2 linked regions of the Arabidopsis thaliana genome follow. The protein of the gene in region 1 interacts with the protein of each later gene in a pairwise test. Each region holds a gene or a part of one and is shown in the gene's direction. Other genes may lie near its edges.

Region 1 (4,108 bases):
AACGACCTTCCCTGTGGCATGGTTCGTTTCTAAGTATGAAAAAGCATCAGCAACGCGTGAGAATGGGAACGGTCCTTTGGGATCAACCACAGGCTTCACCTTCCCACTCTCAATATATGGGTTAAGTTTCTTCAAAACATCGCCATTAGATGTAACAACGAATCGAAAACCAGGAGGCGTGACAGCTCCAGTCAATGCCACAACTTTCCCTCCTTCCTTAATCACCTTCACTGCCTTATCACACATCCCTTTTAACAACACAAAAGATGCTCTAATCAGAACGTTTTGTTGCAACAAATTAGATATGTGTTAATGGTGTTGTGTTTTGTTTGTTTACCAATGGCGTCAAAGACAACATCGTACTTGTCAGGCAAGTCTTCTATATTCTCCTTTGTGTAATCAATAGCTAAATCAGCACCTAAGCTTCTCACTAGCTCTAGCTTTTCTGTACTCGCAGTTGCAGCTACTTTTGAAGCTCCATACACGTGCTTCGCCAACTATATCGAACACACATATGAGTAATCAATCAACAACAATTAATCTCTGATTCTTAGATTACAAGGAACCAACTATTACCTGAATCACAAGACTCCCTACTCCTCCGGCACCATTAAGAACAAGAATTGACTTTCCGGCTGAGAATTCAGTCCTAACTAAACCTTCATCAGCGGTTTCTATCGCCAACGGAAGCCCTGCAGCTTGCGCAAAATCGATGTTTTTAGGTTTTAAAGCTAATAACTTCTCTTCCACGGCCGTGTACTCCGCTAAAGAACCAAACTGCTTTGGACCTTCCAATGCTTTCTCGCTCACGTTAGCATAAACTTCATCTCCTTCTTTCAAATCCTTCACCGCACTTCCCACTTTCACCACTACTCCGGCAACGTCGTATCCCGGAACAGTCTACTCCGACGAAAGATTCAAAATGTTAAAGAATCCGAAACCTTCAAAAAGAGTGAGAGAGAGAGATTTGAATTTGCATTTACCGGGAGAGGCGAATCAGTGGCTTTAAATTTCCCTTGCCGTCTCTTAGCATCGACGGGATTAAGAGCCGCCGCAACAACTTTAATCAAAACCTGATCTTCTTTAATCTCCGGCACAACAATGTTACTCTCCAGCTTCAGAACATCAACTCCGCCGTAGTCACTATACACCCACGCCTTCATCTCTTTCGGAATCGAAGCATCCGCCGTGACATTGACCGCCGCTGAAGCGCTCTGAGAGCTCGCCGAGATTTTCAAGAATTTCTTGCTGACTGTTTGCACGCAAGATCCGAATCTAACTCTGTTGATTTGGTAAACCGGCGATTTTGTTGTGAGAGAACAATAATGAAGAAGAGGCGTCTCACGGCGGAGTACGGGAGTTGTGGCGGTGGTTGTTGCAAGCGCTGCGTTCATTTTTCAGTCTGCCACTAGTTTTGTCTAAAAGGCTTATCTCTTTCGCTTTCCTCTGTTTTTAAAATACTCTGTTTCGTGGCTTTCTTTGATTGGTTGATATTTTCTTGTGGTTGTCATTTTAATGTTTATATCACAAAAATTGTGGCCCATAATCGTTTTTGATCTGGTGCTGATTTTGTGATTCATCTTTGTTTCATTTCTTTTAGAACTACAGAAGTCTAGAACAATCACAAAACACTTCGGTTTTTGAACATTACAATGTACAATTTTTACGTAAGAAGATACAATCGACATTAATGGGCCTAAACTTTAAATTGGGCTTTATGAATAAGCCCAACAGTTGAGAAAACGCAGTACTAAAAGTCGATCATCTAGGCACGATGAGATTAACCATAGAAACCGCGCACAACGAAGCACGATCAGTACACGTGTTAAATTATGATTGGGTCCTTGGTAGAGATTAAAGATCCACCGTCCATTTCCCCAGAACTAGAAAAAAGAGAAGGGAGAAAACTTTCTCCGAGCTCGATTGTTTTTGGAAATCGTCAATCAGATATTTCTCGTTCGTCTCCGCCTTCGATTTATCCAAAGGTAAGCTATTGATAAAAAAAACTAAATCCCTGATATTTGATTTTGAATCTCTTATACTCATACATTGCTGTTCATGTGTTGTTGTCTTGATTTCAAATCTGCCCAGCTTTTTGTAATAATGATGCATGCACTATGTTTAATGCTTGAGTTCGATTTCCCTTTGTTTCGGGTTTTGCCTCATTGTTATAACTCGGTCGAAAGTCATCTCCTTTACATGAAATTTCTGTTGTTAAGATTATATGGAATGTCCTTCATTGTTCTGCTTTCTAATTCTTGTGTCAATCTTATCTAAATCTTATAAATCAGCATTTGCATTAGAAGATTTGATCTATTTTAAATTGGTTAAGAAGTGAAATGATTGATTGTCAATGCAGGCTCTTGTTATTGAAAATGGCAGATTCCACCAAAGCAGGGTTGAAGAAGCCAGCTTTCACTAAGGTTGATCAGCTGCGTCCTGGGACTAGCGGACACAATGTCAATGTGAAGATTGTCAGCACGAAAATGGTGTTACAGAAAGGTCGTGCTGATGGTCCTCAAGCTCGCCAGTTGCGGATTTCTGAATGCATTGTTGGTGACGAGACAGGAGTGATCGTCTTTACCGCAAGAAATGACCAAGGTACTTTACTTCAGTCAATAAATCATTTGAAAAACAAAACGTTCATATAACGGTTTGTGTACTTGATTCTAGTAATGTTACAGGGTAGCTAGTAATATCTTGATTTGGTTTTGTGTGTAGTGGACTTAATGAAAGAGGGATCAACTGTAACTCTACGCAATGCGAAAATCGACATGTATAAAGGATCAATGAGGCTAGCTGTAGACAAGTGGGGTCGTGTTGAAGTCACAGAGCCTGCGAGCTTCAAAGTGAAAGAAGACACCAACATGTCCCTTATCGAGTATGAGCTCGTAAACGTCGTTGAATGAGTGACAAATTCCTCGAAATACCACTAGGAGAAACGCCCTCAAGAATAAACAAGTCAAATCCGTAACCGTTTATGTTAGCGTCAAGAAAAGAGTTAAACCCTGATCAGCTGATGTCTTGCACTAAGCTATGTAAGAGTGATGATGGCTCTAAAAGTTGAATGCAGAGCTTTTGGCTTAGGTTATGACTTCGTGATACCTTTTCTTTTGTAATGTCATCATACACGCTAAGGCTTTTGTGCTACATTATTACTCTCTTTGTCTTTGCCTCGTTTCAAAAAATCCATATTCTTAGTGAAGTAAACAGTAACTGCAAGCCTCTGTTGATCAACGACCATAATGATTATCTTTCTATTTTGGGGTTATATATAAAAATAGAAGTTTAACCAAAATGCAACTCGAGATGGGCTTGAATCACTTTGTTAATGATTGTGGAGAAGAAATGTTGTCGTGTGAAGTGATGGGACTTCAAATGTGTGTCATCATTGCGTCATGACTGATGGCTTCTTGGTTTCCTTTGTCTTTTAATATGTTTATCTTCTTACATTTTTATATGTTTGTCCTTGTCACGTATCGGTAATGAAACTTCAAACTTGATATAATAAACGAATAATAGGTATGAATACTAAAATAGTTAGTGAAGAAACAGTTTCTACCAACAAAAAGTAATGTATCTTTTCATGAGTGTTAAGTGGGCAATGTTTAGTGCGTTTAGTCCTTTTTAGTCTTTAGAGCTGTTTCCTTATCTCTTCCTCTTAATCAAAATTTTCTAATACGATTTATTCAGAGATTTTAATAGAGTAAAATGTGACATTTCGGTATTGATTGATTCATAGATTAAAAACTATATAAGCCTTGGTTCCAACTTCCAACTTCCAACTTAGAAATGTGTATATACACACATTTGCATCGATAATAACTCACCAACACTCTCTCTGTCTCCATCGAATGTTTCCTCTAACTCTCAACAAAAATGCGCAAACAATTTGTTTTTCTTCTGCCTTTCTTGTCACGTCTCTACCATGTAAGTCAAACCTAAATCGTTCATTTGAATCCGTTTGTTTCATTTCTCTATAATCGATTCACTTCAGATTTTATTGGATTTGTTTCCGTTTATTCTTTTGATCATTTTTGAAATTTTTGTAACTTCCAACAATGCAGGTAGTTATAGCCGGAGGAGAACGGTTAACTAACGGCGGTTT
Region 2 (4,437 bases), about 15 Mb from region 1:
CAGGTTCTTTAACTTGATTTTGGGTTCAATGATTTCATCGTGCTTCCTTTTCGCGGGAAGAGAACTTTCAATTACAGAGTCCTTGTCATCATCATCTGCTTCACTCTCGTCTTCATCTTCCTCTTCGTCTTCTTCGTCATCATCATCATCATCATCATCATCATCATCACTGTTATCAAAAGAGGTTTTCTTCCCTTCGTAACGAACACCAGCTATTTTCTTTGGCCGGTCTTTGATACCCAGTCCTTGTTTTCCCGCTGTGGCTTTATCCTACAGACATTCCAAAACGTCAATATATTATTAGATCCCAACCTCTTTTCCAAGAACAGCCTGCAAAGAACATACCTGAACCATGTTGTAAAGATTCTCTTGATCATTCTCACTAAACATTTTTCTCTCGCTAGCTTTTAATTTCTTTTTGCCCGACTTGGCCCCCAGAAGACCACCCGAGACAAACCCGGATTTAAATCCCCACCAGTTCGAAGAAGGTTCTTCAATTTTCTGTTCTGTTCAGTCCAAAAGATCCATACATTTTCAGTTCAAAAAAAAGAGCAGAAAGTCACAATTTCAAGATGCAAGGACAAACTAATCACCTTTAATACTAGCATCTTGGTCCTCAGATATAATTTCAATATCCATAGAATCGGCTATGTCACAAACTGCAGGAGAAGGATCCTCAGTTCGCTTAACCTACAAAACAGTAAAATAACGTGCCTAAGTCGGACTATCACTTTCATAATGAGATTTGTTTACATAATGGTGATAGCAGAGAAAATTCTAACAACATGCACAAGTTCACAGTACATGTAGAAGTTATGATCCATTCTAATCAACATGAATCTTGATCATGAGCGGATAAAAGACAGGACAGAACTGTTTTGAAAGGAAGCTTACCAGTATTCCTTCAAGATCTTTAGACGAGTATGAATTGACAAGCTTCCCTTTCTCTCTACGTTTATACCTTCCTTGTGGACGAGTGACTTTAGCAACGGTCTTCAACTTGGCAGGCTCAGATTTGACAGCATCATCTTCACTTTCATCTTCCTTATCTGAATCTATCGTATGCCACATAAAACAACAATCATTAGGATAAATAAGCTTCTCTAAGTCAAGAAAGAACTCAACTTAATAAGAAAAACTTATACCATCATCATTCTTGCTAGTCTTGGTAGGAGCAGCTTGCTGCAAATAACACACACACATACACAAAAAGATTGAAATTATTTCAAATATTTCAAAGAGCATAGTTAAAACGAAAGATGAACACAGCCATTACCACTTTCAATTTCTTGAGAATGTTATCGAACTGAGTTGTATCAAATGCCCATGGATTTGGCTTATCAAGACCAACACCTGCTCCAACATTTTAAAAAAATTCAGACCTATAACATAAACGATAGATGCATATACACCACACAAATATACAAAAGGCTTAAAGTAGCTCTATCTTGATTCCACAACTTCACATTCACCAAATTACATAAACTAAACTATGTAAACAGACATTTCCTCCTAAAAACCGAAAATAATGTTGTTGTTTTTTAGTGTAAGTGAAAAGTAGCTCTATTAAAGTTTCCTCCAATCTAAATTCCACCGAGAAAAATTCAAATCACTAGTTTCCATTAAGGAGAAGAAGAAGAAGAAACTAACCAGATGTATCTTGTTTGTTCGTAACTCTCACATAACCTTTGATACCTTGCTTATCTTTACCAAGTCCTTCTCCTTCTTCCCAACCCTAAAAAAATCACCAATCCAAAAAATTAGGTCTTCTCCTTTATAAAATCTCTACACACATTAACATCATTACAGGAAAATTCACTCACCATCGATTTCATAAGCTTGAAAGCGGCGGAATCCTTACATATTCCGACGTACTTAACCGGAGCTTCCGGCGCCGCCATCTTCTCTTCTAATTTTCCGGCGATTGAATGGAGACAATGCGTCGCCGTTTTTCAAAAGCGGTGCGGAAGAGAAGAGTGGGCGAGGAAGTTTAGAGAAACTGGAACAGAAAACCTAAAGCGAAGAAGTGATGAGTAAAACTCCTCTACACGTGGTCTTTAGTAAACTTCAGTGGATATGTAACATGATCGACGGTCGAGAGTTTATCATATTTTAAATGGGCTTTAGGAAGGAAAGGCCCAATAAAGAAATGAATATTTCCACCACAGAATTATGAATTGAGTAAACCAGAAAATCGAAGAAGAACGGCAATGGCTACTTCTTCTACTCAGCTTCTACTGTCTTCTTCTTCTTTGTTTCACTCTCAAATTACCAAAAAGCCATTCCTTCTCCCGGCGACGAAGATCGGCGTTTGGAGACCGAAGAAGTCTCTCTCGTTATCATGTCGTCCTTCAGCCTCGGTTTCAGCTGCTTCTTCCGCCGTCGACGTCAATGAATCTGTGACTTCAGAGAAACCAACCAAAACGCTTCCGTTTCGAATCGGTCATGGTTTCGATCTACATCGTTTAGAGCCAGGGTATCCTCTGATCATCGGTGGGATTGTTATTCCTCATGATAGAGGCTGCGAAGCTCACTCCGATGGTAAACATTTCTTGAAATTCGATTTGGTTAATTCGTCTTCTTGTAGATTTTAGGGTTTTGATTTGAGTTTGATGTTGGAATTTGTGTAGGCGATGTGTTACTTCATTGTGTAGTGGATGCAATTTTGGGAGCACTAGGCCTTCCAGATATAGGTCAGATTTTCCCTGACTCTGATCCTAAATGGAAAGGAGCTGCTTCTTCTGTATTCATCAAAGAAGCTGTAAGATTTCGACGCTTACCTTGATGTTCAATTTTGTGTGTATGTTCCAGTATTAGCTACTTCTTCTTTAAGCCTTATTTTGTGTGTGGTACTTTATAGAATGGTTCAGAATTCAAGCTAGATCCATAAGTTGATGGGATTTACTCAGCTTAATAATACTCTTGAGTAAATTATTTTCATCTATAGGAAGTCGAAGAAATATGGAAATCAGATCTTATCCCTGAACTGTTGTCATCACTCAACGATGCTATCTATAAGCTTATCACTCTTGTATACATGATTTTTGTCTTGAAAAGCCTTGGCATAACTCAATTTTCTGTTGAATTTTAGGTTCCTGCATCTTTGTATTGTTAGATTTCAACACATATGATTGATGATAAGTAGAGGTACTCAAGGTTGAAGCTATAAAGTTTCTTTCTTGTCCTGTCTTTTAAGTTATGGGTTCACATTTGGCGTAATGTGTTTGTTAAGTTCACCATGATTGACTGTGAATGTTGATTGCGTGGAAGCTAATCTGAATCACTTGTAATGATGTTATATAGATATAACAGAAGAAATGTTAGATTCTCGTCGGTATGAAGAATGATTCAATAAACTTGAGACGAGGTTTATTTGACTTTGTGTTTCAGGTGAGACTCATGGACGAGGCAGGGTATGAGATAGGAAACCTAGACGCGACGTTGATTCTCCAGAGACCAAAAATTAGTCCACACAAAGAGACAATCCGATCCAATCTGTCCAAGCTTCTTGGAGCAGATCCTTCTGTAGTGAACTTGAAAGCCAAAACACATGAGAAAGTTGATAGCCTCGGAGAAAACAGAAGCATAGCAGCTCACACTGTTATTCTCCTCATGAAGAAATAGAAGTCAAAATTGATTTTAGCTCTTTATCATATTCCTTAAAGTGTCTCATCTTTTAAGAAAAACATACTTTTGATTGTAAAGTGTAATCATCCTTTAAAGGTTAATTAATCGAATCGTTTCGTAGAAGCAGAGAAAATCGAATCATATTTTGTTGATGATTCATTGTGATTCCTAGTTCCTTGGTCAGATTTGAATATAATTGGAAACTGTGTCTTGGACTGCAAGTTCCTTGTGACACAATTTTTTATTTGTCTGTCATATAGTTGTTGCTTTCCTTGTCTACATGAATTCTTAAATCAAAATCAGAGAATAATAATATCATACTGAAATAAATACATCAATGATCAGAGAATAATCCTTACCCGTCAATATAAAATCAACTTCTGACTAATCAGAGACTTAACATACTGCAAATCTTAAGAGATTATACAGCCGTGATCATGATCGCACACAATAGTAGTGTGATGATGCATTGGACAAACCGGAGTGTCATGGTGAGACTGAGACCGGTAAAGAGCTTCTTCACGTTCACGTTCACGTTCACGTTCATTTTCTTCTTTCTTCTTCTTTTCCGCAGCTGCAGCGGTTTCCGCTTCCTTCTTCGGATCGAACGGGCCAAATGTAGCCATTTTCGCACTCTCCCATCTCTTTTTGAGTTTTTTGAGAATCTGCATTTCGTCAAACTCACCAATCACCGTTAACTTCCCTTCTTTTGAATCCATGGTAATAGTTGTAATTCCTGGAATAAAAAGTGTTAAGATTTAGGTCTTGAGACTAAGGAAGATCTTTTCAAGGTGGTAGGTTCTTTTGAGA

Evidence for each region.
Region 2: the proteins of AT1G23750 (region 1) and ISPF interact in a two-hybrid assay, tested with the Arabidopsis thaliana proteins (one large-scale study listed by BioGRID).

The regions. Positions count from the first base shown.
Region 1 is NC_003070.9:8,398,263-8,402,370, forward strand, and holds AT1G23750 (Nucleic acid-binding, OB-fold-like protein), read left to right. Parts: upstream 1-1,793; 5' UTR 1,794-1,985; intron 1,986-2,359; 5' UTR 2,360-2,375; coding exon 2,376-2,601; intron 2,602-2,721; coding exon 2,722-2,909; 3' UTR 2,910-3,288; downstream 3,289-4,108. Other genes in the region: AOR (Oxidoreductase, zinc-binding dehydrogenase family protein), read right to left, coding at 1-248, 338-497, 577-900, 984-1,394; JP630 (BURP domain-containing protein), read left to right, coding at 3,880-3,930, 4,068-4,108.
Region 2 is NC_003070.9:23,738,110-23,742,546, reverse strand, and holds ISPF (isoprenoid F), read left to right. Parts: upstream 1-2,162; 5' UTR 2,163-2,210; coding exon 2,211-2,541; intron 2,542-2,630; coding exon 2,631-2,761; coding exon of another isoform or gene 2,762-2,785; exon of another isoform or gene 2,786-2,799; intron 2,800-3,390; coding exon 3,391-3,624; 3' UTR 3,625-3,874; downstream 3,875-4,437. Other genes in the region: AT1G63980 (D111/G-patch domain-containing protein), read right to left, coding at 1-270, 346-506, 594-690, 895-1,055, 1,146-1,182, 1,277-1,353, 1,651-1,735, 1,824-1,901; AT1G63960 (Copper transport protein family), read right to left, coding at 4,041-4,363. UniProt on the Arabidopsis thaliana protein: Enzyme of the plastid non-mevalonate pathway for isoprenoid biosynthesis that converts 4-diphosphocytidyl-2C-methyl-D-erythritol 2-phosphate into 2C-methyl-D-erythritol 2,4-cyclodiphosphate and CMP. Is essential for chloroplast development.